Nothobranchius furzeri: one gene and its partners. The protein of the gene in region 4 interacts with the protein of the main gene of each other region in a biochemical or structural test. Links are inferred from orthologs where the notes say so. Each region holds a gene or a part of one and is shown on either strand. Other genes may lie near its edges. The genes, in order: mta1, prmt2, ncoa6, esr1, ccnd1, proto-oncogene tyrosine-protein kinase Src and cdkn1a.

What was found.
Region 1: the proteins of esr1 (region 4) and mta1 form a complex in vitro, tested with the Homo sapiens proteins (4 studies listed by BioGRID). The link is inferred for Nothobranchius furzeri from reciprocal best matches to the Homo sapiens genes ESR1 and MTA1.
Region 2: the proteins of esr1 (region 4) and prmt2 form a complex in vitro, tested with the Homo sapiens proteins (2 studies listed by BioGRID and IntAct). The link is inferred for Nothobranchius furzeri from reciprocal best matches to the Homo sapiens genes ESR1 and PRMT2.
Region 3: the proteins of esr1 (region 4) and ncoa6 form a complex in vitro, tested with the Homo sapiens proteins (4 studies listed by BioGRID). The link is inferred for Nothobranchius furzeri from reciprocal best matches to the Homo sapiens genes ESR1 and NCOA6.
Region 5: the proteins of esr1 (region 4) and ccnd1 form a complex in vitro, tested with the Homo sapiens proteins (2 studies listed by BioGRID). The link is inferred for Nothobranchius furzeri from reciprocal best matches to the Homo sapiens genes ESR1 and CCND1.
Region 6: the proteins of esr1 (region 4) and proto-oncogene tyrosine-protein kinase Src form a complex in vitro, tested with the Homo sapiens proteins (3 studies listed by BioGRID). The link is inferred for Nothobranchius furzeri from reciprocal best matches to the Homo sapiens genes ESR1 and SRC.
Region 7: the proteins of esr1 (region 4) and cdkn1a form a complex in vitro, tested with the Homo sapiens proteins (2 studies listed by BioGRID). The link is inferred for Nothobranchius furzeri from reciprocal best matches to the Homo sapiens genes ESR1 and CDKN1A.

The regions. Positions count from the first base shown.
Region 1 is NC_091758.1:21,770,552-21,775,082, forward strand, and holds the start of mta1 (metastasis-associated protein MTA1), read right to left. Parts: upstream 3,062-4,531; 5' UTR 2,950-3,061; coding exon 2,922-2,949; intron 1-2,921. UniProt on the Homo sapiens protein: Transcriptional coregulator which can act as both a transcriptional corepressor and coactivator. Acts as a component of the histone deacetylase NuRD complex which participates in the remodeling of chromatin.
Region 2 is NC_091754.1:17,486,549-17,491,090, reverse strand, and holds the start of prmt2 (protein arginine N-methyltransferase 2), read right to left. Parts: upstream 2,876-4,542; 5' UTR 2,826-2,875; coding exon 2,739-2,825; exon of another isoform or gene 2,706-2,738; intron 2,674-2,705; coding exon 2,482-2,673; intron 1,078-2,481; coding exon 916-1,077; intron 1-915. UniProt on the Homo sapiens protein: Arginine methyltransferase that methylates the guanidino nitrogens of arginyl residues in proteins such as STAT3, FBL, histone H4. Acts as a coactivator (with NCOA2) of the androgen receptor (AR)-mediated transactivation.
Region 3 is NC_091755.1:60,747,562-60,752,119, reverse strand, and holds the start of ncoa6 (nuclear receptor coactivator 6), read right to left. Parts: upstream 3,057-4,558; 5' UTR 2,928-3,056; intron 1,525-2,927; 5' UTR 1,445-1,524; coding exon 1,201-1,444; intron 1,058-1,200; coding exon 902-1,057; intron 810-901; coding exon 687-809; intron 1-686. Other genes in the region: glutathione hydrolase 7, read right to left, coding at 4,355-4,527. UniProt on the Homo sapiens protein: Nuclear receptor coactivator that directly binds nuclear receptors and stimulates the transcriptional activities in a hormone-dependent fashion. Coactivates expression in an agonist- and AF2-dependent manner.
Region 4 is NC_091742.1:2,857,854-2,861,632, forward strand, and holds part of esr1 (estrogen receptor), read right to left. Parts: intron 3,222-3,779; coding exon 3,083-3,221; intron 2,114-3,082; coding exon 1,980-2,113; intron 1,357-1,979; coding exon 1,173-1,356; intron 125-1,172; coding exon 1-124.
Region 5 is NC_091749.1:21,584,027-21,587,805, reverse strand, and holds part of ccnd1 (G1/S-specific cyclin-D1), read right to left. Parts: intron 2,523-3,779; coding exon 2,374-2,522; intron 2,295-2,373; coding exon 2,139-2,294; 3' UTR 1-2,138. UniProt on the Homo sapiens protein: Regulatory component of the cyclin D1-CDK4 (DC) complex that phosphorylates and inhibits members of the retinoblastoma (RB) protein family including RB1 and regulates the cell-cycle during G(1)/S transition.
Region 6 is NC_091743.1:58,656,985-58,660,763, reverse strand, and holds part of proto-oncogene tyrosine-protein kinase Src, read right to left. Parts: intron 1,301-3,779; coding exon 1,201-1,300; intron 473-1,200; coding exon 455-472; intron 1-454. UniProt on the Homo sapiens protein: Non-receptor protein tyrosine kinase which is activated following engagement of many different classes of cellular receptors including immune response receptors, integrins and other adhesion receptors, receptor protein tyrosine kinases, G protein-coupled receptors as well as cytokine receptors.
Region 7 is NC_091743.1:46,701,144-46,704,238, forward strand, and holds cdkn1a (cyclin-dependent kinase inhibitor 1), read right to left. Parts: upstream 1,933-3,095; 5' UTR 1,802-1,932; coding exon 1,799-1,801; intron 1,665-1,798; coding exon 1,214-1,664; intron 1,132-1,213; coding exon 1,076-1,131; 3' UTR 765-1,075; downstream 1-764. UniProt on the Homo sapiens protein: Plays an important role in controlling cell cycle progression and DNA damage-induced G2 arrest. Involved in p53/TP53 mediated inhibition of cellular proliferation in response to DNA damage.

The DNA of each region.
Region 1 (4,531 bases), on a different chromosome or scaffold from region 4:
TTTGCATTCCGTATTCTGCGCTTCAGGCTGTGTGTGTGTGGGGGGGTGGGGGGGTGGGGGTCTTGTTCTGTGTGAAAACAAAGCAGTACAAGTGATAATGCTGCAGGATTTCATAATTTTATCCTTCTCAGCAGCAACACTGCAGGTGCTCTCCATGTCCAAAATGTACGTAAGCCAGGTCCTTAGTCAACTTAAAGTTGCGCACATTTTTCTACTACGTTTTCTTTCATGAATCCCAAAGTTTGCGTGGAAAGTTGCTTACGCAGTTTTCCGACCCCGTTTTGTGCGTAAGCAAGCCTGATAAATGAGGCCCCAGAACTTAGAGATGTGGTGGAATGGGAGATTCATCGTGTATGTTGCTATGTGATGCAGTCATGTTAATTTGGACCAACATGGACTCTGAGAAATGCATCTATAATCTTGTAGAATTCATTTCTGAAGGCATCTGCCTCCAGTAAGCTGTACCTAATAAAGTGACCAGTGGGTGGATGCATTTTAGGGGAACATTTTGCTGATTGGCTTGTTGCAGTTCTGAAAAATACCAACTAGCAGAGTCACCACAGCTTCCAGTAGAAACAGGGGCTTAATAATGGACTCCTGCTCCACAAATGCTGGGAACGAGAGATTAGAGCTAATTCTGTAATCTTGCACGAAAAGGCTTTTAAGACACTAATTTCAGGTTTTGGCACTTAATATTCTCACAGTTAATTTCTCAACATGTAGACACAAATAATTTAAATACATTTTACAACAAAAAGGACAGAATCAAAAAGGAAATCTACTTTTACTCTGATCAAGAAAAACAGACATTTTACATGTTAGCTGCTGTTTATCAGATGTGATGCTGCACCGCCTCTCAAAACTCTGGGTGTTTTTTCTCATAACGACGTTATTCAAGCAGATCAGAATCGGATGCAGGAAATAAAAGAATATTTTAAAATGAAATGCGTTTTAAGAACAGGTGCAGATTTTCTGTTGCAGCTCGAGTGGTTTGCACGGAGTTGAAGATAGCGGTTTTACATTAAACCTCAGGGAAAAAAGTTTGGACAGGGCTGCAGTTGATGGAATAAAATATGATTTGTGAGATTTCCCAAAACGTCACAGAAAACCTACTGCTGCAGCTGCGTGTGTGTGTGTGTGTGTGTGTGTGTGTGTGTGTGTGTGTGTGTGTGTGTGTGTGTGTGTGTGTATTTTACCTCAGCTGTTATGTAGATTAAACAAACCCTATTCTTAAGCTTGACACAACTTCTGTATAACAAACAATTATTAAGCATGGTCCTTTATTAGCCAATCACATTCATTTCAGGATGCATGCCCACTGACTAAATCCCTCCAATAAAAATTCTGGATTTCTACAATTTATAATAATAAAATCAAACCACCACGTACAGTTCCTCTTCCCATTTACTCAGCAATTTACTGAACTAGGTCTGAACTTGGTGGTCTGACACACTTCTTCAACATATTTTTTGGATGGGGACACAAGGAAAAAGGTGATACAGGCAGCAGATGAGTGGTTTGTGGCCAGCACAGTTAAAAAAATAAAAATAAAAAGACATCAAAGCCCAAGGATGCTTCTTATTATCTTGTAAAATTGCAGCCATCTCTTCAAGGGCAGCTCTTTGTTGTGATGCTGCTCTGAAAGGATCCTTGTTATCAGGCCTCATTTCTGGCCTTTTTTTAATCTAGATTATTACAACAGAAGAAAAATAATCCCAAAGTGTGTTTACTCAGCAATTAATAAGAGTTCATTGTTGTGGTTTCAGTTCAGTTTGGCCAAATTCAATTATTACTAGGTTTACTAGACAGACTCAACAATATTTTACTAAAATAACAACTTAAGACGTAAATGTGAGTGGTTTAGTGCCATTTGATATATATCACTTGCTGGAGTAAAGTGAAGTAACATGTGTTCCAAAATGTGCATTTTCAGCTAATAAACAAACAGCAAAGGAAAATAATCTTTGCACAACTGGTTTGAAAAACCTAGCGCATCAATAAAACTGAGTGGCATGAAGAAACTGAACAAAGTGACATTTGGTGACTGAATTGTTAACTTTCTACCCCTCTCTGGACTAATCCTGTTCTCACGCAGGTAGGCCTCCTTTAATTTGATATATGACGTTCACTTTGGGCTATTTCTGATGCTGTATCCGAGCCAAGTACAGTCACAGCATCCCTGAATTACAGAACAGTTGTCAGAGTAAATATGTGGTAATGTACAACAACACAGAAACGCTCACTATACAACATCATTCCAAACAGGAGTGGACACTAATCTGGGCACTAAAGTATGTGGAAAATAAATAAATAAAAACAAAAAGATCACGATTGGACACTGCCACGTGACTATCTTACACCTGTCTTACCTGAGTGGGACTCAAGAATCTTCATTAGGTATTAAGAGACTCCCTGGATGTGCAAAAAGCTTAATCTGGAATATTTTGTTGGTCATTTCTACATTTAAAGTGTTAAAACTAAATGTAGTGTAAAGTTTTTGTCCCGGCTGCCTCCTTGCATTGATGCCTATGCGGTTCCAGTAAAGTACTCACGATGTTCCTTACAGGAGGCAGCAGAAAGAACAATAGTTAGGTGAAACTTTCAGAAAACCCGTGACATGTTATTTAAAATAAACTAAACCGTCATGGAGGGTTCAGGTGTGCCAGAACACCGAGATGGCTCTCTGGGTTCATTAAGGGGGAAAACAGCAAAAGAAGCAAATGTTTAAGAGAACCGCTCGCTGCTCTTCATCACCATCCTCCTCCTCCTCACCATCATCTGCGAGAAGCACAAAGCTCTCCCAGCTTACGGAAATGTTTTTAAAAGACGAGCCACGCTCATAACGAGCTTCCGTGGGTAATGGCGAGTCCGCCGAGTAAAAACGCCACACGGCTCCGAAACGCAAACGCCCCAAAGCTTACCTCCAACCCGGTACATGTTGGCTGCCATGACTGCCCCCGGTCCCGGGCTTCCTCTCCAGGTAGAGGGGTGGCTCTCTGCTCTCTCCCGCTGCCGGAGCTGTGTGTTGGAAAATGGTGGATTGATCAATACGAAACAGACTGCCCGAGAGACCTTAAAGAGACAGTACACCTTTTCAGGAAACCCAACTTATCGGCACGGATAACAAAGGGCGCGTTAATCTCACTACTTATTACCTTTATAACATCGTCAGTGGCTAACTACGCCATTATTTCTTAATATATATCTCAATATGCGTCACAGTCACCGCAGTAGCCCACCGCCTTTCGGTTTAGTCGTGTTTTTGTTAATAGTTAAAGTAGTTATCTGGTAGTTAGAATAGTTATTAAGATAAAGTAAACTCGCCTGTTTTTGTAACTTTGTCCCAATTTTTTGTTCTCCCTCATCAACTGAAATATCGCGAGATTTGAGAGTAAACCCCTTTACGTGACCTCTGGGTCACGCTTGACGTTAGAAGGGGTGTAATTAATAATTATTTTATCGTCTACACTGCTGTGCTCAGTGAAATCAACAATTTAATTATTTTGCTATAAAAATGCAAACTGAATGCAATATATTTTAAATAAGCCCCAAAACTCAAGGAGTTGACCCACTAATTTCCCTTCCCTGGGACAAATAAAGCTTTTCATTCATTTCATTCGTCATTCACTATGTTTATGAACTGTACAAGGAGTTCATGGGGATTGTATATAGAAATGTATCATGGGTTTATTCGCTCATTTAATTCATTTCCAAATATGTGTATTATTTTAAAAGAAGCAGTTTAACTCTCATCTTATTCTGAAGGTGTTTACCGGCCTTAACAACACTAGCAGAACAATCTGTACAGATCATTTTATTAGCAAAAATTTACACGTACAAGTGAATTGTATCAGTGACTGAACCAAAATAAGGACACATACTGCTGTTGCCTAGACGTCAATGCGCAAAATAAAGTACACAGTGTTCTATCGAGGCAAAAACATGCCAAGTGACTCATGGAATGATAATTTGGAACATGCAAGGTTTTAACATTATAAAAAATATCCAGGGATTTCCATGACTCAATAGTTAAATGTTTGCGTTTATGTTGTCTTTTGTTGAAATGGTAAAGGAGAAATGTACTGTAGCATAATCCACCATACAAAATAAATTATACATTTGCTCTGCTTTTGTTATTTTCCCAACACAAACACATACTCTTCTTGGATCCTTGCAGCATGTTGCTACTTATGTATAAATAATACATAAATTGCCTCAAACACCCTGCAAGAGAAATTCTTCTGCTGTCAGAGAAATCATTAGCAAGTGTTAAATATGAGTGACACTCTGTGATGAGAGAATGCAGCATGGTTTTTCCACAGCTTTGTTTTTAAATCTGGATGTGAGTGTAGAGCCTCAGTGCAGGAGGAATGCTGTGGTGAACGCTACATATGATCTATACCATATGGAAGCTTCAATTACTGTGGCCTAACACAAGGGACTACAGTCTGCAGTCACATGACTGTTGCGGGCCAATCGTGTGTAGTTGCAGTGTGCACTCGTTAAGTGTGCAGCATGTGAAGAATCCTGT
Region 2 (4,542 bases), on a different chromosome or scaffold from region 4:
AATTGTTCTAATAATGGTAAATGGTCTGATTTTGTACAGCGCTTTGAATCATCTACTGACTCCAGGGCGCTTTATGCTCACATTCAAACACTGGTGGTGATGAGCTACACTGTAGCCACAGCTGCCCTGGGGCAACCCGACAGAAGCTAGGCCACCGGGTTCTCTGATCAACACAAGTACGCAACAAGTGTGACGTGTCTTGCCCACGGACACGACGACAGGTTGGTGGGAGCAGGGTTTGAACCAGCGACCTCAAATCAGTAACTGACCACTTCTTCCACCTCCCACATGTTACATGGTTACGATGCGTTACACTATTTAAAAAAATGGCAGAAAAGGTGCCAACAACAAGTTGAAAAGACTTTTATCGTTGTTGGACGGCATTCGTATGGTCTGGTGTTAGAACATTTTCTATGACTCCAGGGGGGTCTGCAGAAAAAGGGGTTGAACCTGTTTTTTTTTAATGTAGCTCATTTGAACGTCCGTTTCCTACAACATCCACTGCACCTTTAAATAGCCTGGCCAGCCTTCCTTATGGGAAGCATTGGCATGTTGTAGAATAGACAGAGGGTGAGTCTGGCAGGCCAGGCTACCTTAGAAACACGAAGCTGTTCAAACCAAAGGGTTCAGTCCTGTAGAAATAGTGTTTGTCCACCAGATGGCGCTCTAACCAAACTGTTCAACATAAAGTTGACCTGAACCACTTAGTGACTGTTTCTTTCCAATTTGTCTTTTTTTTAATTAAAACCTTAAAGGCATCAAGTTAAAATTTTACTTTGTATGATATATAAAGAGATCTTTACTCTGAATATATGGAATCATAGAATAATAATCATTCAGGAGACACTTGCATACTTTAATGCTAACTGAACATTCATTTAAGCCGACATGGTTGAATTTCAGTGTCACAATTACCACTGACGGTTGCGCCAACTGAGCGCAGAACAAGCTGATGATGCCGGTTCCACAGCCGAGGTCCATCACCGCCTTGTTCTTCAGGGAGGCACTGTTGCGGAGAACAACCTGCCGGTACGTCTCGGTGCGGCTCCTGTCCGACAACATCTCTAGGTGAAGCTTCTGCATCGTAAGAGATAAACTGAATTTAACATGATGACATGGAGGGGTGAAAATATATCAGAACCATCAGAAACCGTGCTCCCAATCACTCCCGCTAACAGATGAAAAGTAGCAACATAAAACACATGTGTGGTTGATGGTGTGAAAGCAAACCCAACAGGTTTTAATTATGTAGCAGAAGGTGATTAATAAGTGGACGTGAGCACAAGGGCAGCTAGGTTGCTTTATTGAATATGCTGACGTGGTCGCTTTGGCTCATTGATCCTTTACCTGACCGAGGTGCAAATTAGAATCCACAACTTTGACTAAGTCTGAAACATCAGCAGCCTCACCGTGCTGTAAACTGTTCAGTTCCTGATGCCGTTCATGGTTCTGAGGCAGGAAACAAGATTTGTAATAAGCCCCTTTGTTCTATTCCAAACGCTTTTTCAGTTTTTGACTTGAATCCATAACGCTGTGCACACAACACTCCAGCAAATATATTCCATTTAATGGTCTGTTTTCTCTGCAGAGGAAAATCACAGTCACGATACGATTTTCAGAAATACAAAAGATCTGCAGGACCAGTCCTCTAGTCCCTGCAGTCGTAAAGAACAGAGGAGGCTAATGTGACTTTTTAATGGTGCTGCACTCTTTCTGACTATGTGCAGAAATCTCTGCACAACAAATCCATAATAAACCTGCAAATAACCTCTTAATTATTAAAGATTTGTTGAGGTAAATATCTATTCCTAGCCCCCACAAAATGAACACATAACATGCATGAATGACGAGGACAAGAAATCTCCTCTAATGAACAGAACAGTGGCAGAATCTCATTATCGATTTCCGGTGTTGTTATTAACAAAGCTTGAATTTTGTCAAAAACTCAAAAACACGTATTAATGTTTCTTTTATTTTAATGGCATTAAAGTATTTTTGAATCCGCCGCAAACTCATATGCTTCAATGCTACTGAGACAACATCAGTAAAGTCTCTACGGAGGTTAGAGATTAGGATTTAGGTGGAGAACAGGCCACACACACTGCTGCCTCAGGAGACTAACACTTTATTTATTTTTTTAACTTCAGCAGCATTCCTGGATGTAAAAATAAACCCCAAACTAAGCAGATTCTGCAAAAAAATTAAATAAATAAAATTTAAGAATGACATAATCATCTAAGGAACAACAGATGGGATATTTTCTCTGTGGGTGTGCCATTTCACTATTATTTCTCAAGTATTGTACTTTTTAAGTTTTTGTGTGCTTTACAGTCAAAACCTGACATGATATAGTGTAGAGCTCAAATTCAGGCTAAACTTATGAAGATATTGCAGCTTCTACACATTCTAAATGCACAAGTGTTGCTTTAATCATGCAAACCGACCTAAAGTTTCATAGGATAAATGTTTGATGTTTCTGACCAGTGTTCCATAGCTCCCAAAGTACTCTTCATCCTGCCAGGGGTCTTCTATAGAGGTGTCTTCCTCCTCAGCTGTGTCCTGGCGCAGGTAGCTGGCAGGGACATACCCTATGACCCCACGGACCTCCGCCCACCACCAGGCTGCAGAAGGTTTGGCGTGAACAAGCAGCTTGTCCCCTGAGCTGAAACTAAGCTGCGGGACACAAGTGATGAAGTGAGTGTGTTCTGTGGCTGAACCGCTGTTTGTTTGCCTCTAACCTGCTCGGAGCCACTTCCTGAGAAATCAGACAAAGCCACAAACTCTTCAGGAGACGCGTCTTCTTCGTCCTCTTTCTCCGCCTCCATGTTCCAGAGGGTTCAGGCGAGTGAAGTGGTTTTGTTTTATAAATTGTCTCAAATTTTGAACCTGACAAATCTGGGTTTAAAAATAACCAAAACGTGCTTTGTTACCACAGCGAAACAAGCGGTAAAACGCGTCACGCACTTCCTGCTTTGGTGCTGCCTTCAAGTCTGTCGGAAATAGCTGAATTCGTGCGTGACCACTGTTTACACGCACATAGCATATCGTGCTTTAAAAAGAACTGAAAGATAGAATTTGAAACTAAACACAGCAAGAACACACCAACGATAGCAGATCATTTAAAGGGGAACTGCGAGTTTTTATTTTACTCTCTAGACCAGGGATGTCCAAACTTTTCAAGGCGAGGGCTAAAATGGCTGTTTAAAGTCACTGGGGGCCACAAGAATGTAGGTTTCTTCATAAAAAATTGCAAGCATTATTTTGTGGCAATTTTTCTTATTTGTGCTCTTCAAAATGAACCCAAAATAGGCTAATAAGTAAAAATCTCAACACAAACATGTTAGAAAGTGGGTTACATTCCACATGGAAAGACAAAATTCATCATTCTAAAAATTCAAATGGAGGCCTTACAAAATCGCTTGGAGGGCCGTAAATGCCCCCCGAGCCACACTGGACACGCCTACTCTAGAGTAAATACAAAACTATATAATTAAGCTCCTTGCTCAAAACTAGTCTCGCATAAAGTGAGCAGCTTTTTAAGTACTTTCTAGAATGAGCCGTTCTTTCACTTTAAGCAAAACAGTTTCTGGTCCCTGATTGGTTGCCGTTGGAGGAGGTCATCCAGCATCTGAAGTTGAAGGGATTCTATGATAATTTTATTTGTGATGTCACAATATAGAATTTTTTGAAAAATAGTTTTTTCTGTTCTTATCTTGCACACAGAGTAGCAAAGTTTTGTTTTTTTACGTTACCTGCTGAAAGTTTCGGCGTTGCAGAGATTCGCCATTCTGGCGGCGTCACTTCCGCTGTTTATCCACTGAAGATGCCTAAACGAAGCGATTGAGATTGGTAAACGTGGACTCTGGGCCATGAAAAGTGATGGAGTTTACACGCTGGATCATTCATGGGACGTGGTGATCGGCAGGGAAGGTGCGGGCTGTAGAGGGCGACATCGTTCCACACCGCCCGGGATTAACAGCAGAAGTGACGACACCGCAGAAGCTCTGATGATGGCGACTGTGATGCCCTGTCAGCAAAAAAAAAAAAAAAAAAAAAAAAGATAAAGAAGAAAAAACATTTTGCTTCGCTTTACAAAATAAGAACAGAAAACCCATGGAAATAGAAGAGAAACACAGAAAAGCACAAGGAATTTTTGAAACAGCTCATTTCAGACGAATAACACCTGAAGTCAAACTCAACAAGTGAAAGCACAGATTTTATCCTTGTTTGGATATGTGTAGGGGTAGTAGAGTCATATGGCAGCTCTAAAAATGCAAAAAGTGCATTTTGCACACGTCCCTGTGAGTTTATTGACGTTGGGGAAAAGCTGGTTATTTTTCAGCTTGAATTGCTTGTTCTTCTCATATTCTACATGTTTGAATTTTTTTATTTAAAGTACATAAAAGGAAAAAAAAAAACAACTTTGCCTAAACTGGTTCGTAAATTAAATTTTCAATTGTGAAAAATCTAATATTTGTTTCCTACAATGGCTTGGGAATCAGAATCAGAATCGGTTTATTGCCATTGTCAGTGAACAAACAA
Region 3 (4,558 bases), on a different chromosome or scaffold from region 4:
TAAACTAGTGTTCACTAAAACCGAGCCTTGTAAAAATTCTGGAAATTGTTTTTTTTTTTTTATCATTCAGCTACTGATTCAATTAGTACTTTTTAAAGGGGGTGTACTCATTTATGCTGAGAACTGTGTATATATAGCCTAAAATTATATCGCAATATTTTTTTTCTTCTGTTTATGTCAAAAGGAGAAATATAGAATACCATTTAAATAACATTTAATGTTCAAAACTAATTAAAAAAATACAAAATATCAAGTAATATTTATGTTAAACATTGTTAGAAACAATGCAACACAAAAATTCACATGAACCAAATAAAGATGAAGAAATTTTAAAATAAAATACAAGCTTACTGTGATGAAAGTTTGGAAACCTGCGTGTTAATAATATGTTAGAAGCTAATGGCATATAAGGGAATTAGCGTTAGCGTTAACAAGCGTTGATATGACTTCACTGTCGCCCAGAATATTTTACAGAGGATGTTTTTCTGCTCAGCATCAGACTCCTTAAACCTAAACCAGGCCAGTATAAATTATGTCTTCGTCTTCTCATCAACTTGCTCTGCGCTGAAGCTGCTGCTGCTTTCGACAGCATTCATGTGTGATCACGTTTGGACAGTAAAGCCAAAATCTCTACTAGTAGACTAGAGTACTGTTAATTTTTTTGTTAAACTTTTGGAAAAACTTACCTGGGCCAGGCTGACCTGGAAAGCCACCATCCATTCTCATCTGACCAGGTGCACCAATTGGTCCATTCACTCTGACTTCTTGTCCTCTGTTTGGTCCCACAGCCACATTAATTGCTCCCTCTCCTGAACACCAAGATTAAATCATTGCATAAATGAATTTTTATGAAGACAAAAGGAGGAGATCTGCATGAATTCTTTTTGGACTGAGCTATTACCTTCTATTTGCACAGAGAGAATACCCAGGTCTCTGAGCTGCTGCTGGTTGTTTTGGGCCAACAACCGGAGTCGCTCAGCAGCATCCCGGGGAATGTTGAATGTGACACGGACACTGTTCCACGGCTCAACATGTTTAGGCTGCAGCCGTTCTGGGCCTAAAATAAAGTGTATTTAGTTAGTGTTGGTTGGAAAATGCTTAACAGGTCAGTGCAAGATATATATTTTTGAATCAAATACACGTAAATGAGCTCAAATAAAACAAAGTAACAAAACAAATTGAATAAAAATAAACACAAACCCAAATTAAGAACATCAGGTATCCCATTGAGGATAGTTTCTAGTTTTTGAGTGAAGTTCTCATCATCCATGTTTCCTTGAAAGGCAACAAAGACTGTGAAGTCCTCCTCTCCATTTTCTCTAGTGTCTTCTTGCTCCATGGGTCCAACTTCTTCTGTTACGTTGCATTTCTCAGAGCTATCTGCGTCTTCTCCAGAATCTTCTCCAACACCAGAGTCTCTGTCCGATTCACCATCAGGCTCCATGTACGCAGTCTTCTGGGATGAGGAATGTTCAGCAGCTATCCTCCCTTCCTTGTTAGGAGTGGTGTCTAAACCGTTTTATGCTGTAATTACAGATTATTCAAACTTTAGATTACAGCATTTTCTTATCAAATACTATTATTCCATACTTTGCCTATCTCAAATGTATGTACTGCCCAGAAAAGTCTATGGTATTGATTAATTTAATAATTATTTGATAAATTATGCTTTTTCTATAAACTGTTTCAGCTTAAAGTAAAAAGCTGCTTACGCTATGGGTTCCCAATTTTCTACAATTTCGTAGAATGCATTTAAAATGGAAAGTTTTGGGAACATAACAGCTCATCTTAGAATATTTTTAATTTCCCATTAATATATTGAGACCTTCGACAGTTCTTAAAGAGCAAGTCACCCCCAAATCTACTTTTTTTTTTGCTGATAAACTATATAAATGTGTGTCTAAATGTGCTGCAGACACGTGTAGTCAATAATTTGGTACTTCAGTGCATCTTAGTTAAAATTGAAATATTCTGCCTAAAACTGTCAATGTTGCGCCGTTGTCAGGTAAAAACTCTGCACTGCATTTGAATTTAAATCTGCCACCGCTATTGGCTAAGAGGTATGCTATGATGTAAACTGGTACATTATGATGTCACAGTGCCGTTGTGAGCCTGTGTGTGTGTGTGTGTGTATTTGTTAGTGGCTCCGCCCTCTCGGTCTGCTAGGCAACAGCATTTGTTGCATTTTTCAAACATGAAGAGGGAGTGAAATAAGTTTCTTGTAGGGGGTGACTTGCTCTTTAATTGTTTTAGAAACCCTGAACACAGCCAAGAAACAACAGTTATAGTAAGTTGCTAGAGGCTGAAGAGTATTCTATATAACATTCGATTCGAGTAAAACAAAGACAAGCAAAAAAAGTCATAATTTCTATTTGCAAACCAGAAAAAGAAGCAAATAAATGAGTTTGTAACTCAATGAAGCAGACACCTGGAGGTGACATCACTGACCGGTGATTAGCTTATTAAGCAGAGGTGCTCTGATTGGTAGTCACATTACTTTCAGAGTTGTGAGATTTCTTGATATGGGAGTTAAACTTGTTAGTAATAATATAATATATTTTTATAATGATGATCATCCTGGTTTCAGTCACCGGCGCTGCAGGAGTGTGGGCCTTAACGCAGTAAGCTAACATTCAAACAAAATCCACAAGTAAACTCTGTTTCTTACCAAATTGTGCATTTTCATCGTGGTGCAATTAACACTTACATTTCAAATGTATACGTTTTAGCAGCACACAGAAAGAGTGAAATTGAAAGTGGTTCCTATTGGTTTTCCGAAAAATCCTGTTAGCATCAGTTAGCTATGTAGCTAGATGTCAGTCTCCAGACGCGAATGAATCCAAGCAGCGAACCGTAGCTGGTTTAATTTGCCTTTCAACAGTTTTCGTTAATAAAAACAAGGAGAAAGGAATATACAAAGACCTTACCAAACATATCCATATACGAATACGTTCAACTAGTCGACATCTGTTTGCTAGACAGGCTAACAAAATAGGATGAATGTCATAAGCAAGCTAACTAACAAAGGTTGTTTCCGGTTTTCTTTTTCAAAATAAAAGCTCAAAAGGTAAACGCACTCCTTAGGTTAACAAGTTCATGACTATTTCCTAAATAGTCCTGAATAAACTGAGCTGTTTTATCTATTTTTCAAATTGTATTAAATGCAAGTATGATGACAAATTGCGGAACACTGCTTATGTGGGTATGTGCAAACATTTTTATTTCACAAATTTGAACAAAACCGATTTTTCCTTCAATTATAAACACAAAATAATCAAACATCAGGTGTGCAAATGTGTGCATTAACAGTACACAAGACAAGACTCTAAGATTAGAAACCTATTTGATCAATTTAGTGTGAGAGAAAAACGTGTTCGATTTTACTTCTATTATTCCGCTTAATTGCACCAAAAACACATGACACCCATCCCGAAGAGTTCCAGGCTGAATATAGATTTTAGGAATAAAAACATCTACAGTCAAACAGTGATGTAAAAATTGATTTTACATTAAACTGTTTTAATTCCCATTCAGAGAACAAGGGTGACCCTCTCTCAAATAATTCTAATGATTTTCAAGAAAAGCAGCAAATAAACCACTAAAACTATATTAAGAATGCAAAAAGAACAGTAACAATATAAGAAATACTTTAAAATCAATAAAACCATCTCAGTAAAAGTAGTAAACCAAGATGTGGAAATCACATTCCTGTTAAACATCTCTGTCTGGGTATGTTATCACCTAACATGTTCTCAAAAAGAAGGTAAAACTCCAGCAGCTGTGCAAGACAACATAATCACAGTTACATGCCACACTACAAGCAAGGGAAGGACAGTTAGACAAAGACAAAGCAAGTCTCTTCACTTGTCATCTAGCAACATCCTTGGTAATATTTGGAATAATTGACAAAAAACATTAAAAAATAAGTTGACTGTTAATGCATGTACTGCACACTATGCATTTTTTTGTACATTTTACATTATTGGTTTATGATTTCATTTATTGCTCAATAATTTACCTCTGAAATTCTGACTAAACAGTGATAGAGAAAATACTCTCAAACATTCCTCTCATAAGTTCAGCAATTACATTATTTCATTTGCAGCTAACTTTAGTGCCACTGCTGGGTGGGCTTTTACTTTGAAAACCTTGTACCGTGTGACTCGAGCAAACAGATGTGAGGTGAACTCACAGAAAGCTAAGTGGATTTTTATTTAAATGGCAGTTTGCTGTGAGATTTTGATGACTGTAGTAGTTTGATCATTTTTATTCCACCTTTTCTTCTTTCACTAGTATCCTACGAGTTTGATCCCTGCTGTAATGTGAGTGAATACTGGAAAAAGTGATGGATGCACTAAGGTGTGTTGGAAATGGTGAGGGCAGAAGCATCAGCACTACGTGGGTCCTTCACTCCAATGATGAGGTCATTGGTTCTCCGTGTGCCTTCCACCAACGAAAGGACACCCATCCTTTCAACTGTGTGTCCTTTGGCCTTCAGCAGCTTCACGTCATCTTCCAAAAACTCAGCTGTAGGGAAACCAAATGAAGAAAAAGGAAG
Region 4 (3,779 bases):
CAAGGACTGAGATGATTTAACGGGGCGGTGGAGGCGGTGAGCGTCGAGCATCTCCAGCAGCAGATCATACAGAGGCACTTTGTTCTTACACTTCATGCTGTACAGATGCTCCATGCCTTTGTTGCTGCAACAGACACAAAAAACAAGCGTCAATTCAAATGATAATTTAACGTCCTTTAAAGATCATTATAAGGTTTTCCCCATTTGGTTCATTCTCTTATGGCATGAACCTCCAACGAATCTAACATTCATGAATTTGTATTTTTAAATCTGATAGTTAAATGTTAGTGACACACGAATTATTCACGATAAACTTAATTTAGGTCATTAACAGGAAGTCTGGAACATTGCGTGTTTATATATCCCCTTTGTTTTCAGCCTAAATGCACATTAATGAAGTTTTAAAAGCCTTTTTTATTCAACATTCAATTAGAATTTCATGAGCATATTTATGTCATGGGATGGAGCGTGCATGTTACCTATGTCTGCAACAGATGGAACAAATCAGGTCTTTCTGGTGCTTCAAAAGCATCAAAGCCAGCTTCATTTATAATGCTTATTAAAGGGGACCTTATTTCTTAAGTTTTAATAGTTCTATTGTTGATACCTAACATGTTTATTAAGTAATTTACACTAAATCACTCTCACATGAAGTGATTTCAGTTTTCAGAACCTTCCAAAATGAGCCGTTTCAGGGCTCTGTCACCGTAAGAACACAAGCTGGAGCTGGCCACGCCCACCCATCACCCACTCAGGCTGCTATGAGCGTAGAAGCTCAGATGTCCAGGAGGGGGTTCAAAGTTGAGCCGCTGCTCCTTCAGCATCAGCTCTCTCTCTCTTGCACGTCAAAGATTTTTTTCTAATTTCCCTGCTTGTGACATCACAAACAGATTTTTAAAAAACAGCTTGTTTTAGGCACATAATTCCTAAAACCAAACACTGACAGACAACAGATGGACAAAATCTTTCACATTTGGAGTTTTTATAGAAGCATTAGAGACCAACATGGCAGCACAAAAGGATGAATCATATGTCCCCTAACAAACATTTTTTTTCTGTGTTGTTTTCTTTTTGAGTTATCTACGTTATCGTTTGGACTCATCCGACTCATCCTCTAAAATGTTCAATTCTAAATTTGCTAAAAACAAAACAGCATCAGACCATTTCCTTACCTCATGTGCCTGATGTGGGAAAGCAGTAGGAGCAGCTGGGCCTGCCGCCTCGCCTGCTCCCGAACCGAGAAGCCTGATTGGCTGATGTGATGTATAAGCGCATCAGTGATGGTGTCCAGCATGCTCTGCACCGCTGCGCTGTCGTGAAGGGGCTCCATTGTTCCAGTGCAAAAAGAAAAGGCGCCTGACGAGAAAAAATATGTTCAGTTTGTAGCTTTGTCCTCTAATTTCTGCAAAAACAAAGGCGAGTAAATCAGCAGCAACAATTAAAACTGATTCAACTTCGTTCAGATTAATTTAAAACTCCAACACTAAAGCTTTTATTAGAAGTTATTAAATGTGACTCATGCATGTAAATAGAAGCAGATATTTAGGATGCAGGTTTGCAATCACGAAGTAATCAAAAGTTCATCATGATCCTGAGCGTCTCATCTCATCCTTCTGGCATTTTAGTCCTTTTGCTTCCCTTATAGAATATTTCCATCGCCATGACAAACAAACACACCCTCCTCAGCTGTCCCATGTTGCTGTGGCAACGGCTGTTGAGCATATTGACGGTACAGGCCTTTCCAGAACACTCTGTTCGTCTAATGTGCCTGAGCAGCTCTGAGAGCTACACCTCTTGTGGGCGGATTTTGACTCTGTTCAATATTTACTCTCTGGAGCGGAGATGGAAACCTGTGACGTAGCACGCATACGACCCAAACTGTGAAACTTTAGAGCTTTTTGTTTTGTTATTTTCTATCAAATGTCCCTGATGCCTGCAGGCAGAGTTTTCATGCACTGGAGGGAAGAGGTTTGCCTCACCAGAGTTGAGCAGAATGATCGCTTTAAGGCAGACAAATTCCTCCGGTTTGAGTTTGAGCATGCGGAAGCGGGAAGCAGTGGCCAGCAGCATGTCAAAGATCTCGGTCATACCCTCGACGCAGTCGCCCTCGTTCCTGGAATGCAGAGCTTACATTTTGTTTTGTTTTTGAAAAGCACATAAATCAAGGTTGTAAGTCAGAAACGTAAGCGGTGATTTGAGGAAAACAGATCCCAAGGTCTGGTCTGCAGTGGGAAGAAGAAGCTGATGCATTTCAGTTGTGAAACTATCCACTAATGCACTGAATCACTGCCGTGCTCCATTTGTGAGGGGAAGATGGATAACATCCAGTTGCTTCAGTGCAAGATAAACTTGGAGAGCTCAGAGGTAAGGGAATGCATCCACGCTGACCTGCAGCATTTTAGTCATCATGTCCAATTGACGAGGACACTCATTCAGAGGCCAGGTTTCAGAGATAATACTCTGTAAAACACTTTTGATCAGATGGAACCATCAGAGTGTAAAAGCCCTGTCTGTCTGCATGTCTCCCTCACCCCTGTCGCTGTCGCCTCTCCTCTCCCTTTCTCCTACAGGTTGATGCTGCGGTTTGACCAGCCTGTTTACTCTGAACATGAGGAGAAACGAAAGGAACAAGCTGTGCCTGCGAAGCAGAAAACACCCATGCCTCCTGTCTCTCTGCATCTCCACTTTCTGATCTTTTCTTTTCTTTTCATCATTTAGCTCCTCAGTTTCGTTTCCAGTCACCTCCCTCTCTATTTCTCTCTGCTGCTCCCCGTCTCCCATCATTCTTTGCATTGAGGCTTCGATTAAATCCCCATCCTGGTTTCCAGCTCAGCCTTGTAATGATCAGAGTGTGTGTGTGTGGGGGGGGGGGGGACTTCTGGTTAGCTAGTGGCTGCTCTCCTCTCTGTGGGGAACATGTAATTAGTCTTTCACTCTGTGCCAGATGTGTTGGGATGGCACAAAAGGCTGGCAAGGTGTGACATGATAAATCTACAATGCTGATGGATCACTTTTAAGATCTGACATGGAAGAGGGGAAAAAAGAAGAAGAAGGGTAAATGTGTTCGTCAGCGAGGATGAACCTGTCCAGTATGAGGTCCTGTGCAAAGATGAGCTTTCCAGGGCAGTGGATGGACCTCCAAATTAGCCCAATCATAAGAACCTCCAGCCAGGAGCTCTCCAGCAGCAGAACCTGGTCATGGAGGGACAGCTGCAGAAAGCCTGGAAACACACACACACACACACACACGATCTTCATGAGCTATTCGGTTTTAAATGTTTTTTTTTCTGATCACCTTTAACATAAAGAGTCTTATCACTGGTTCCCAGCTGTTTTCATTCATTTGTAATCACAGCCTATTTATTTCTTTTGTCCCCTCTGGAGCCCGTTTAGGGCCCCTCGCAATTACAGCTGTGTATCTTTGGGCTTTTAGTGACGCACGAGGTCGTAATGCCTCAAAATAAGGATTTACTCCTTCAGTCAGGTGAACGTGTGTGTGTGTGTGTGTGTGTGTGTGTGTGTGTGTGTGTGTGTGTGTGTGTGTGTGTGTGTGTGTGTGTGTGTGTGCGTGTGTGTGTGTGTAGCACACCTTCTAATGCATTTAGGCTCTATGGGGTGCCAGCAGATTGACTAAACAATCCTCTCAAAGGTGATGACTGTAACTACCTTCACCTTAATGGCTCTACGTGTGTGTGTGTGTGTGTGTGTGTGTGTGAGTGTGTGTGTGTGTGTGTGTGTGTGTGTGTGTGTGTGTGTGTGTGTGTGTGTGTGTGTGTGTG
Region 5 (3,779 bases), on a different chromosome or scaffold from region 4:
TCAGGGCACAATCAGGACAAAATAAATAAGAAACAAGATGACCACTAAAATAACTCCTGATTCCCAGTATAAAAAGACCAATATACTTATAGCTCATAGTCTATGACCCAAGGGCTATAGACCTTGGTTTAACTCATTTAAGTCTAACCAGTACAGACCCAAATACCAATATCTTGCAAATACTGACAGCAAGAATTATACAGTGGCATTTATAACAAATAAATGCAAATAAATTGATGTTCACAAAATGTTGCATAACATTTATTTAGTCATGTCAAGGTGCTGTAGGAGAGTGCACTAGCACCGTGTCCTCAGGGAGATTAGTTATTAGTTATCAGCGTGAGGAACTTATTTCTACCTTATTTATAAACTATTTATTTACAGGTCCATCAGTTAATGTAATAATTGTCTCAACCACAGCTGCACCCCCCAACCCGGTCTCACAGGGGGCAAGCTGCACGTCTGTTTAGCATGCCGCACGCGCACATTTAGCTGTTTTTAGCTGCTCAGAAGTCCACAGGTGCGGTGTGTGTGTCACTCACTCTGGTTAATCCAACAGGGAGCCGGCTCTGAGAGCTGTTTCTTTAGCGACTGACACGTCACTGCATCATTCCCTTTCCTAATGTCCTGAAGAACGGTCCGGAGCGCAGGCGGAGTGTTTAGCTAACCTGCAGGAAATGTCAACGACAGTTATCCAGAAAGAAGCTAAGGGTTACCAGAGATGTTTCTGAGGTGTTCGCTAGGTACTTTTAGGATTTAAAAAGTCAAGAAGGGGGTCTGAAAAGCTGCTAGAAATAGCGTCAAAGTCGCCAAGTTGGCAACACTGTGGGAGGAGCGCTTCATTTGCAACTCAGGGCAGCGCAAGTGGGAGGAGCAAATAATCGGCTTGTTTTGTTTTTATAATCGTTCAAAACTCAGATCGTAATCGTGATTAAAATTTGATTAATTGAGCAGCCCTATTACACACAACAGCTGATCACCTACACAAGACAACAGATGAGGATGTCAATAACAATTTTCTATGAGAAAATTCAAGCCTACAATTGCAGTTTATAGACACGCATACTCCCAAAACAAAATAATCAGATCAGATAGCAGCAAACAGGAAAAAGCGTCGTTTCAATTCTTTTGTCTGCTTTATTTTGTTTCCTTTGACAGAAGCTGTCGTTTCGTTTCTATAGCAGCAGAAAACCCGGAGTGCCTCACTCCTTCCTGTACACCCTCTACCCGCAGCTCCCGCTCACCCCCCTCAGGAGCCCTGACAGCACCGGGACCCCCCACCAGGGAGGGGGGGTGTCGTGAACCTGGACTGGTTCCTATGGAACACGCCCACATGTTCATGTTTGTGCAAAGTCTCGTCTCATCTCTCCTCGAGTCAGCTTTATCGGTTTCCCAGAACCCACCAGCTTGTCTAAAGGGACACCAGGTTCTGGCAGAGCAGGGTGGGGGGGTGGTCCTGATCAGGATCTGGACTGAGGGGCTTCTCTGGAGGAACCTGGAGAGGCTTTAGTTGCTCAGCTGAAACTCGGACGGCTCCGTCGCTCGGAGGCCGTCTGGTTGGCAGTTGTGTGTTGGGAATGTTCTGGATGCATTTAGCTGAGTCAGCGTTGCTGACCAAAGTGCTTTTTTGAGTCGGACCAGCATCAGAGGGTTTAAGCAGCTCATGGCCCCTCTGGCTGGGAACAGAAGACCTACCAGACTAAAGTCTAAATAAAGTGACTAAACACGAGCAAGCCGGAGACGGGACAAAGACGTGGACAGACTAAATCACTTTAGATAGAAAAGACAACATAGTATCTGCTTGAGGATGAGGACCTTCAGGTGCGCTGACTTAAAGATTCCAAGTTTAACATGTGAGGGAAGAGCCCAGCCCTTGCAGGTCATCATGTCCTCCCCAGGACGTCCCTGTAGTCTCAGCTGCAGTCCCCTGGAGGGAAGGAACGCTGTGGTGTGTCCGATCTGATCTGGCAGCAGGCTAGCAGGAGACATTCTTGACCTTCAGCCCACTAGGAAGTTGGAGAAGGATTGAGGAGGGGTATAGGGTGAGACCAAGCAAGTCCCCCTACCCCCATCAGCACCCTCCCACAACTACTTCCTCTTGATCGTCGAGTTCACTGTAGGACAGATGTCCACCATTCTCAGATGTTGATGTCTCTCACGTCTGTGGGCGTGGAGGACGGGTCCACCTCCTCCTCCACATGTTTGTTTTCCGTTGTGCCGCTGTGCTGCTGAGCCTGTCGCAGGCTGGACTCCAGCAGGGACTCGATCTGCTCCTGACACGACCGCAAGCAGTCCTGCAAACAGAGGGTCAGCATCGGGTCAACGTCCTCACGCCAGCCACAACAACCGTCACGTCAACGAATTCAAACGTACCGGGTCGCTGCGGATGACCTGGGACAAGAAGTTGGTGAGGTTCTGAGAGGACAGGGCGGCATCCTGGTTCTTCAGGTAGAGGCCCTGAACGGCTGCCACCACGCTGCCGGCTGCCACCATCGACGGAGGGCTGGCTATGAAGTTCACGTCTGCAGGAGAGCAGAATACAAAGTAAAAGGGCTGTCGCTCAGGCTGAAGACCACATCTGTTTTGTTTCTGTCAGGATGAGCTGAGGTGTGTGTAACGACTCACACCCCACACCTGGTTGGTGTTTAATTAGCACCGAACGCAATAACCAATCTGTGCAATCAGAACAGGGAGCAGAGTAGTGGTGTGTGTGTGTGTGTCAGGGTTCCCACGCGTCCTGGAAAACCTGGAAAATGATAGTCCAATTTTCCAGTCATGGAAAACACATGGAAAATGGGTGGAATTGCAAAATGTCCTGGAAATTTTTGAGTTGTCCTGGAAAAAAATTTTCCCTCCTTGTGGATAAACAAACAGATTAAACATTTTGGGCAATATTGGGCTGTAGCGCTTCTCCTTTAATTTCTGCATCTAGCTGGCACAGCGCCCCACATGACGCTTCCAACCAATCAGATTGCATATTCCCCTTCAGTTGCAGTTCCACTTCTGTTTTTCCAACTGTCTTTTTGGCTAGATTTACAGATTTTTCACCCCTAGATTTATTTCTCTAAAGAAGGGCCAAAAGTAGCGACTCGGTTCACGAGTATTGCTTTATCGCATTTTATGGAGCGAGAGGTTTTTCTCCTTCTCTCTGTTTAATGACAAAGGAGCAGCGGAGAGCTTTTGTTTTTTTCACTCATGCGTTGAGACGAGCGAACATGACGAGAGCTTCGGGATAGCGACGGATAGCAGGTAGTCTACCGGACCCGCGCTCCACTCAGTAATTCATACTAGTTCTATCATCCAACAGCAGAAACAAAAATATGTGAATGATAGAAATGTCATGAATTTGATTCTATCAAAAATACTAAGTATGTGCTCAGAGGACAGAGCCTCAGCTGTTCATACTGTTTTTAGCTAGCTACACAGACCGCAGCCAGGAGGCAGTGAGAACTGAAGACTGGCATTGTCATTTGAACAAAGTTGTTAACGTAATTAAATTGAATTCAACACGGCTAAATTAATAACTAGAATGATTTTAAGTGGTGACTATATATTTATCATAGTAATGCTACGTAAAGTCCAGACTAAAATGGTAGCGAACAACTACAAGTACTTATCTCTGAGGTAGAAAAAAAAATATTTTTCAGGTCCAATATGTCTGTGGTGGTAGCGGGAGATATTAGCCTAGCCATCTACCCTGAATCTTGTTTCTGGATGTCTGGACTAACCCAAAATGACCAATACTGGAACAACAAAATGCAGTTTAACATCCAACTATG
Region 6 (3,779 bases), on a different chromosome or scaffold from region 4:
TTAAACTCAGAGTGACCCATTATAATCAGAAAAACATTAAAACATGTTTTTTCAGTCACTTTTAAAGATTTAAGTTCCAATAAAAGAACATTTATGTTATTTTTATTTATTCCAGAAAACCTACAACGTATTCAGTTAACAGCGTTTAAACTGCCCTTCGGTATTTAACTCAAAGGTTAAAGTGTCAACGTAATTTAACTCAAACCCACAATAACCTCAGCAAGGACATTTAAGAAAGAAACTCAGCTCCCACGCTGAAAATCTCAGAAGCTGAGAAATAAAACATAAGAAGAAAAGATAAAAACAAGTGACCTTTTAACACCAAATTATTTTACATGTGGGGTTTATTGACAGTTTTTTTTTTACTAAGAGCTCAATAGATAAATCCATGCATCAGCAAAAGGAAGAGAACAAAAGGTTGCATGGAGTTTATATGGCATTAGATTTTACTGACCTGAAGCTGTACTTTTTCCTAGAGGAAACCATGAAGCATGAGAAAGGAAAGAGAAAGGGAGAGATAACAGACACAGCAGACACATCAAAACACGGCAAGGAGACACAACAAGGCAGGCAGACAGAGCAGACCAGCTGGATGCTGCCGGACTACACAGAAGGGCCGTTTCAGGTCATCCAGTATGAAAACACACAGACCTGGAAAGTTGCACTTAATTCTAAATCATCAAAAGTTTAAATGGAGTTTTGGGTTTAATCAGCCCTTCTGTGTAGCGCCAGGAGAACAGGAACCCAGACTTATGGCAGGACATTATAGAAAGAGCACACACCAAAAAACAAAGAAATAAAGCATCACAGTTCAGGTTTTTAACATGTTTCTTACACTGGAGGGTCTATGTTTTAAATGCATATTACATCTGAACCAGAATTTTTTTATTTAACTCCAGTACACCTCGAAGTGTGCAGCTGAACCCTCAATTGCTAATGGAGGTCACAATTTGTTGCCTACAGTCACATCCCAGTGGGAATATCAAAAATAGTCACTTATTTTTGCAATTGTTTTACGTTATTGTTGATATGGAAATCAAAAATTGAGTCAACTGTCTCACTACATCCCCTAAAATCAGGTTAAAAAACAAATAATCTCTTCAGAAAACCACACAACTTTCAAGACATTTGGTCATTTCGAGATTTTTCAAATCTATTGCTATGGTAGAGAGGAGAGGAGTGACTTCTGATGTTTCTTACGTGTTGTTTATGATCTGCAGCCGTTCGCCTTTGGCAAAGCTCAGATCAGTCGTCGTCCGTGCCTCATAGTCATACAATGCCACAAATGTAGTGACACCTTCTGCAAGAAACCACACACAGAGACATACATCTAACTGTAATTACAGACGCTACAAAGAAATGAAAGGGTTCCTCCCTAACTTCCATAAAAAATATTCAGCTAAGCATTTTATTTTGAACTTTTTCAGTGTTTAATGAAACATATTGATAGATGAAAGGGTTCTGACCAAATGTCCTTGACAGACAGAGACATCACATAAACGATTTTCCATTTTCTGTGCAGATTTCTAAGAGTTTATTAAACAAACTTGTTCTCTAAATCTGGAAACTCCCCAGCCAATAGCTGATTGGCTCATTAAATGCATGACAGGAGGTAGTAGAAGAAATGTTCTGCTCCCTGCGTGGAGCAACATTAGCCCGACCATCTGGCTGGTCTAGACAACTTAAACATCAACAAAAAGAGGACACTGCATTACACTAGGCTGCAACTGCAAAAAAAAAAAAAAAAAATAAATAACCTTGACGGCGTGAAGAGGAAACAGCTTTAAAATATGGTTCTGAGTAGATGTGAGTTACTCTGACTCAGTTTGATTTTCTTCATAACATTTGTGATCTTAAATAGAAATCAAGTCCGTAGGCAAAGAATGAGTCAAACTCATCTTAAAGGTGCAATTTGGGAGAATGATATCTTGTGGTCAAATCAGGTTACTGCAGTAAATATTACTCTCTCACTCTCGTTCTGTGAGTTTCGTGGCTGTACCCAGTTAAGGATCAGCACCAGAAGATTCTAGACGACAAGTAAAGACGAGTCATACACAGTAAGTCGATTAGTAGATAAATACATTGTCATGTCTGGTGTTTCACGGTAGGGGGCATATACTACACATATTATGATAATATTTCACCAGCATTACAGGAAGTGTTGTTTGTCGTCTTGTTGTTAGCGTGTTGTTATAGTTCTGAATGACTCATTAAAGGAAGTAAATCTCCACGACTGACTCATTACTCACTCCACACACACATTTCACTGTAATATTCAGTTGTTGGTAATTGAAAAAGTAACATGAGATATTTTTAGAGCTGACTATTTGGTTCTAATTTACCGTTAGCATTGTTAGCTCAGCATTAGCCTGTACCTGGCCTCACCCGATATTAAGAGTAAAACAAAAAGATGCCGTGGTACAAGAAATAGCTTCTGGGTCACTCCCGTTTACTGGCTTTGGTTCTATAAGCAACTCTGAAGCTTTTTTGCCTGCCGGTGTTGAATTAAAAATGCCAGTGCTGCAGCGTTAGCTCACTGCAGCACTGGCAACCTCACAAACTAAACAGTAACCACTTCCCACTTTCATTGTTTTCATAAGGAGAAAAGTTGGCAACCCCCCAGCTGGCTGACAATGAAATCAGTTTCGGTATAATCTTCCTTCCAACATGATTGAGACATTAGACTGTTTTATGATTAATACACTGTAGAGTTCTTACAAGTTGCACCTTTAATTAAAAAGTTACAAAGTAAAATTCAATAAAACAATCAGTCTTCCACATCATTAAAGGAGGAATACTGGCCTAAAGAGGTAAACCTCAGTTAGCTGAAGTCTCCTCACTCTTTGTAGGCATGCCTCTCTTTATGTCCTACCACAGCATTTCAATTAGGCTGAGATCTAGACTTTGACCCATTAGAACCCCTTGATCCTTCGCTTCAACAGCCCCTCTGTTGTAAATGTGTCCCAGTGTTTAGGGTGATTGTCCCAGTGAATGTATGAGTCTAAGCCAAGATCCTGCTGTAGGACAAACGGCCTTACATTCGACTCTTGAAATTCTTTGGTGAACAAGAGTTCATGCTGATAATGACTCTAGGAAGCCCAGATGCTGAACAGCAAGTCTCCTTCATCATCTGCCCTTCACAGTACTAACAGTGGATATGGGGTATTTGTGCTGATCTGCAAAACTTCATTTTGAACAAAAATCTCCACTTTGATATCTTCAGAAATATTTGCACATTTCTGATTTTTATACTGATGTTGCTTTACCACTCAAAAGATGTAAGCTGTGCTACCATTCTCTTATTTTTTAAAGATAAGATGCTTTATCCTGGCTGCCCCTCCAAACAAGAAGCTTTTGTTTAGTCTTTTTCCAACCACACTTAACTGATTTCAAACTAAAGCCGGGCGTACGCTGTGAAACTTTTTCCACTCGTAGGATTCAGCTCTACCTCAAACCGTACAACGTTCTAGCAGAGCAAACTTCACGAGTCATGTTCTCACACTGTATGACCCAATGCTCAGATGTGACCTGACTGCTCACACTGAACATGTGGTAGAAGCACTTTGGTCCTGAAAATGTGCTAAAAAATACTGGTTTTTACACAACATGTTGGGAGTTAGTTACTTTGAGTCCGAAAACCCGGAAACTACATGTGCGTTAGTCTGATATCTTTCAGGCTTGTCACAGGACACACAAAGGTTTATGGGGTTGGAGAAGGAAGATTAAAGAAAGGAAATAAACTTTGTTTTGGGATCTGTTTTATTTGACATAAACATGGA
Region 7 (3,095 bases), on a different chromosome or scaffold from region 4:
TTGTGGAGGTTTAAACGGTTTTAAAAATCAGTGGATGAGATGGAAAAAGTTGGCACTTCTGCTGATTATAGTCTAAGCAATGCAACCACATGTTTAAGGATATATCACAACTCCATAAGCCGTTTTCCGATGACTACGTAAAGCAGAGGTCCCCAATCCTGGTCCTGGAGGGCCGGTATCCTGCATGTTTTAGTTTGAATTCTGTTTCAACACACCTGATTTCAATCAGCAGCTCATTAACAGGCTTCTGCAGAGCCTGATGAGCTGCTGCACAGGCGTTTCAACCACTGAATCAAGTCTGTTGGAGCAGAAAAACCACAAAACCTGCTGGATACCAGCCCTCCAGGGCCAGGATTGGGAACCCCCGATGTAAAATATAATGCACTTAAAAAAAAAACTCCTATAAAAAGACGTAGAAAAACAATTATAGATTTGAACAAAATAGACAAAGCTCTCCTGTTTTTAGCTTTCCTGCGGCTTTGCCACAGAAACGTATTAATCTGAGTCCTGATATTTGTTCGCACGTCTGCTTTTCATCCTCAAACAGGCAGAAGTCCCACCAAACTGAGATGTGATTGTGTTTTAACCCTCTGGAGGCAGGCATCGCAGATCTGCAACAGTTAAAACCTACCTACCTGGTTACTCCACACAAGTATCTCATGAGCATTTTTTAACTCAGAAGCACCCCTGAAGGACTTAGTTGTTCGTCCTTTTATCAAAACGAGACCGAGAGGGTTAAGAGCTGTGTGACGCGCCGTAACAAATGTCAGTCAGCAATTTGGCGAGCTCTCAGTCCAAATGAGTATAAATCCACTGATTCCAGAGATTACTGTTAATCTTCTCTGCTCAAATGTCACCTTCTTAACTGCAGCGTGGACAGAAAACACCAGACCCCTCACACATGCAGCATCTTAATTAGCCTGGTGCCTTCTGGGTTTTTTTTTTCTTTTTTTTGTTTTTTTTTTGTTGGATGATTCAGCACTCCCGCTGCTCGGTGTGGAACAACTGATTCCTGAAGGAGGTGCTGGTTCTTTGTCTGGTTCTCTTGGGAGTTTTGGCACCTTCAAAGGAAATATCACTCCCCGGATTTCCTCGGCAGCCAGACAACTCTTCTTTTAGCCTGATAGAAATCTGTTGGGTTAAAGAAGAGGATACTTAGCTTATGAGAAAAGATGAGTGTTTCTAATTTGATATAAAAAATATCTAAACATACCTGTAATGTTTGTCTGTTTCCTCTTCATTCCTGATTTGTCTTCCGTCTCTGATGTTGTCTCCATGTTCTCCAGACTCAGAGAACATTTCTCTAGAGTTTGGGGGAAGTTCTCTTTCTCCCTCTCTGGTACCACCACCCTTCCTCTTTTGGTTGCACCTGCTGACCTTTGACCCTCTGCATGTCCTGCACAGATGACGCTGGATCTGTAGGGCAGTGGCACCCTGGTACCTGGGACAATCTCCCACTGGAAATCACCGCTCTCCAGAGGTTTGTCGGAGAAGAAGTCGAACCCCCAGCGTTGGGAAGCCTCCTCCAGATCTTTACGCAGGGCAGTCCGGTACTCCATCTGGAGCTGTTCTCGGTCCACTGGGCCAAACAGGCTCCGCCGAGGGGGACCGTTCCTTCTTAGAGTACTGAGGGCTCGCTTGTGAAGTGTAGCCATCCCTCTGCACTGTAGGTAAAAACAGGAAAACTGATTAGTTTCAAAAGCCACAATCTATTTTGTCCACAGTCTAAAAAGTACACAAACTAAATGTTTTTAATATTTTCAAACCAGTGATTTAAACAAAGTTTAGTCAGACTCACCATGGTTCTAGCCTAACAGCTCCTCAGTGAACTAGACTGCTTCTGTGAGCTGACGGGCTTTTATAATGCAGTGCAGCAGCAGCAGTGAGTCACTAGCCCTCCTCTCTGGTACATGTCTGGGCATAATCTCTCACAGGCATGTAAGGGCAAGTCCTCTGCTGTTGTGGTGTTTGGTGTAAGAGAGATAAACCACAAGGTGGCACTGTCACTCCGACTACAGACAGCTCGGAGGCAAACACCAGAGAAATAATTCATCTTCAGTTTACGTTGAAACTGAGGGAAACATGTGACTGTTTTCTGACTCTGACCTGGGAAACAGGTCATTCAGACCATCCAAGAAGGAAGGAAGCATTCAAGGAAAACAGTCCCTGCCCGTCCAGTTACGGTGCAGCAGATGAGATTGGGAGATGAATAAAATACGTTATCAGTGATTAAGAGGACACGAGCTTATTTTACAGAAGCTGTTCCAGTTATCTGCAAACGGAATCTGGAAAAATCTGCTTCAATTTGACGTGAAGATGCGTTTCAGTAAAATACTGATTAGTGTTATAAATAAAAATGTGTCAATGAAACAAGTCATCTGTTATAATCTGATATGATTCTGATTTTTATTTTCATACAAACACAAGCACAAACCCTTTTTTCTGATTCATAAAATATGAGAGTGAAATATGTCTCTATTTTAGCTTGATCTGGCTCCTATCATGGAGTTCAGTTTGGTTTGTTCATGAGAAAAAGAAGGGCCCTTTGCATTTTGATCAAAATTATCTACGTAGTAAAGTCAGTTGACTACAGTCTGTATCAGAGTTTACTAAAAAATGGGTTTGTTGGACACATCTAATGACCACTAAGACTATGTATGCAGTGTTCAACGCTCCCACCCACAGCACAGGGCTCAGAATAAAGCTCCCCAATTGTGGGTGGATCATTAGGTTAATAAAAGGGTTTGAAGGATCCCTGCTGGATCCCTGCGCTGCCCTGGTCCCACAGAGGAAGGGGGAGGGCGTTTCTTTTACTGGGCAGGGTGGTTCTGGGAGGAGTGACTCAAGCTTTGGCGGGAGAGCTAGTCATGCATGACTGAGTTGGACCCAGCCCAGTTCAGCTACAACTCTGCTCCACGTGAGTCTGGAACTCGTGTCAAACTGGGATGTCACAGTTTGGACTCACCCACTCTCTCTCTCTCTCTCTCTCTCTCTCACACACACACACACACACACACACACACACACACACACAGACATGTAAAAAAAACTAAAACCACCAAACAAGAGTTTATGGATTTCCTGGATGTGCAAAA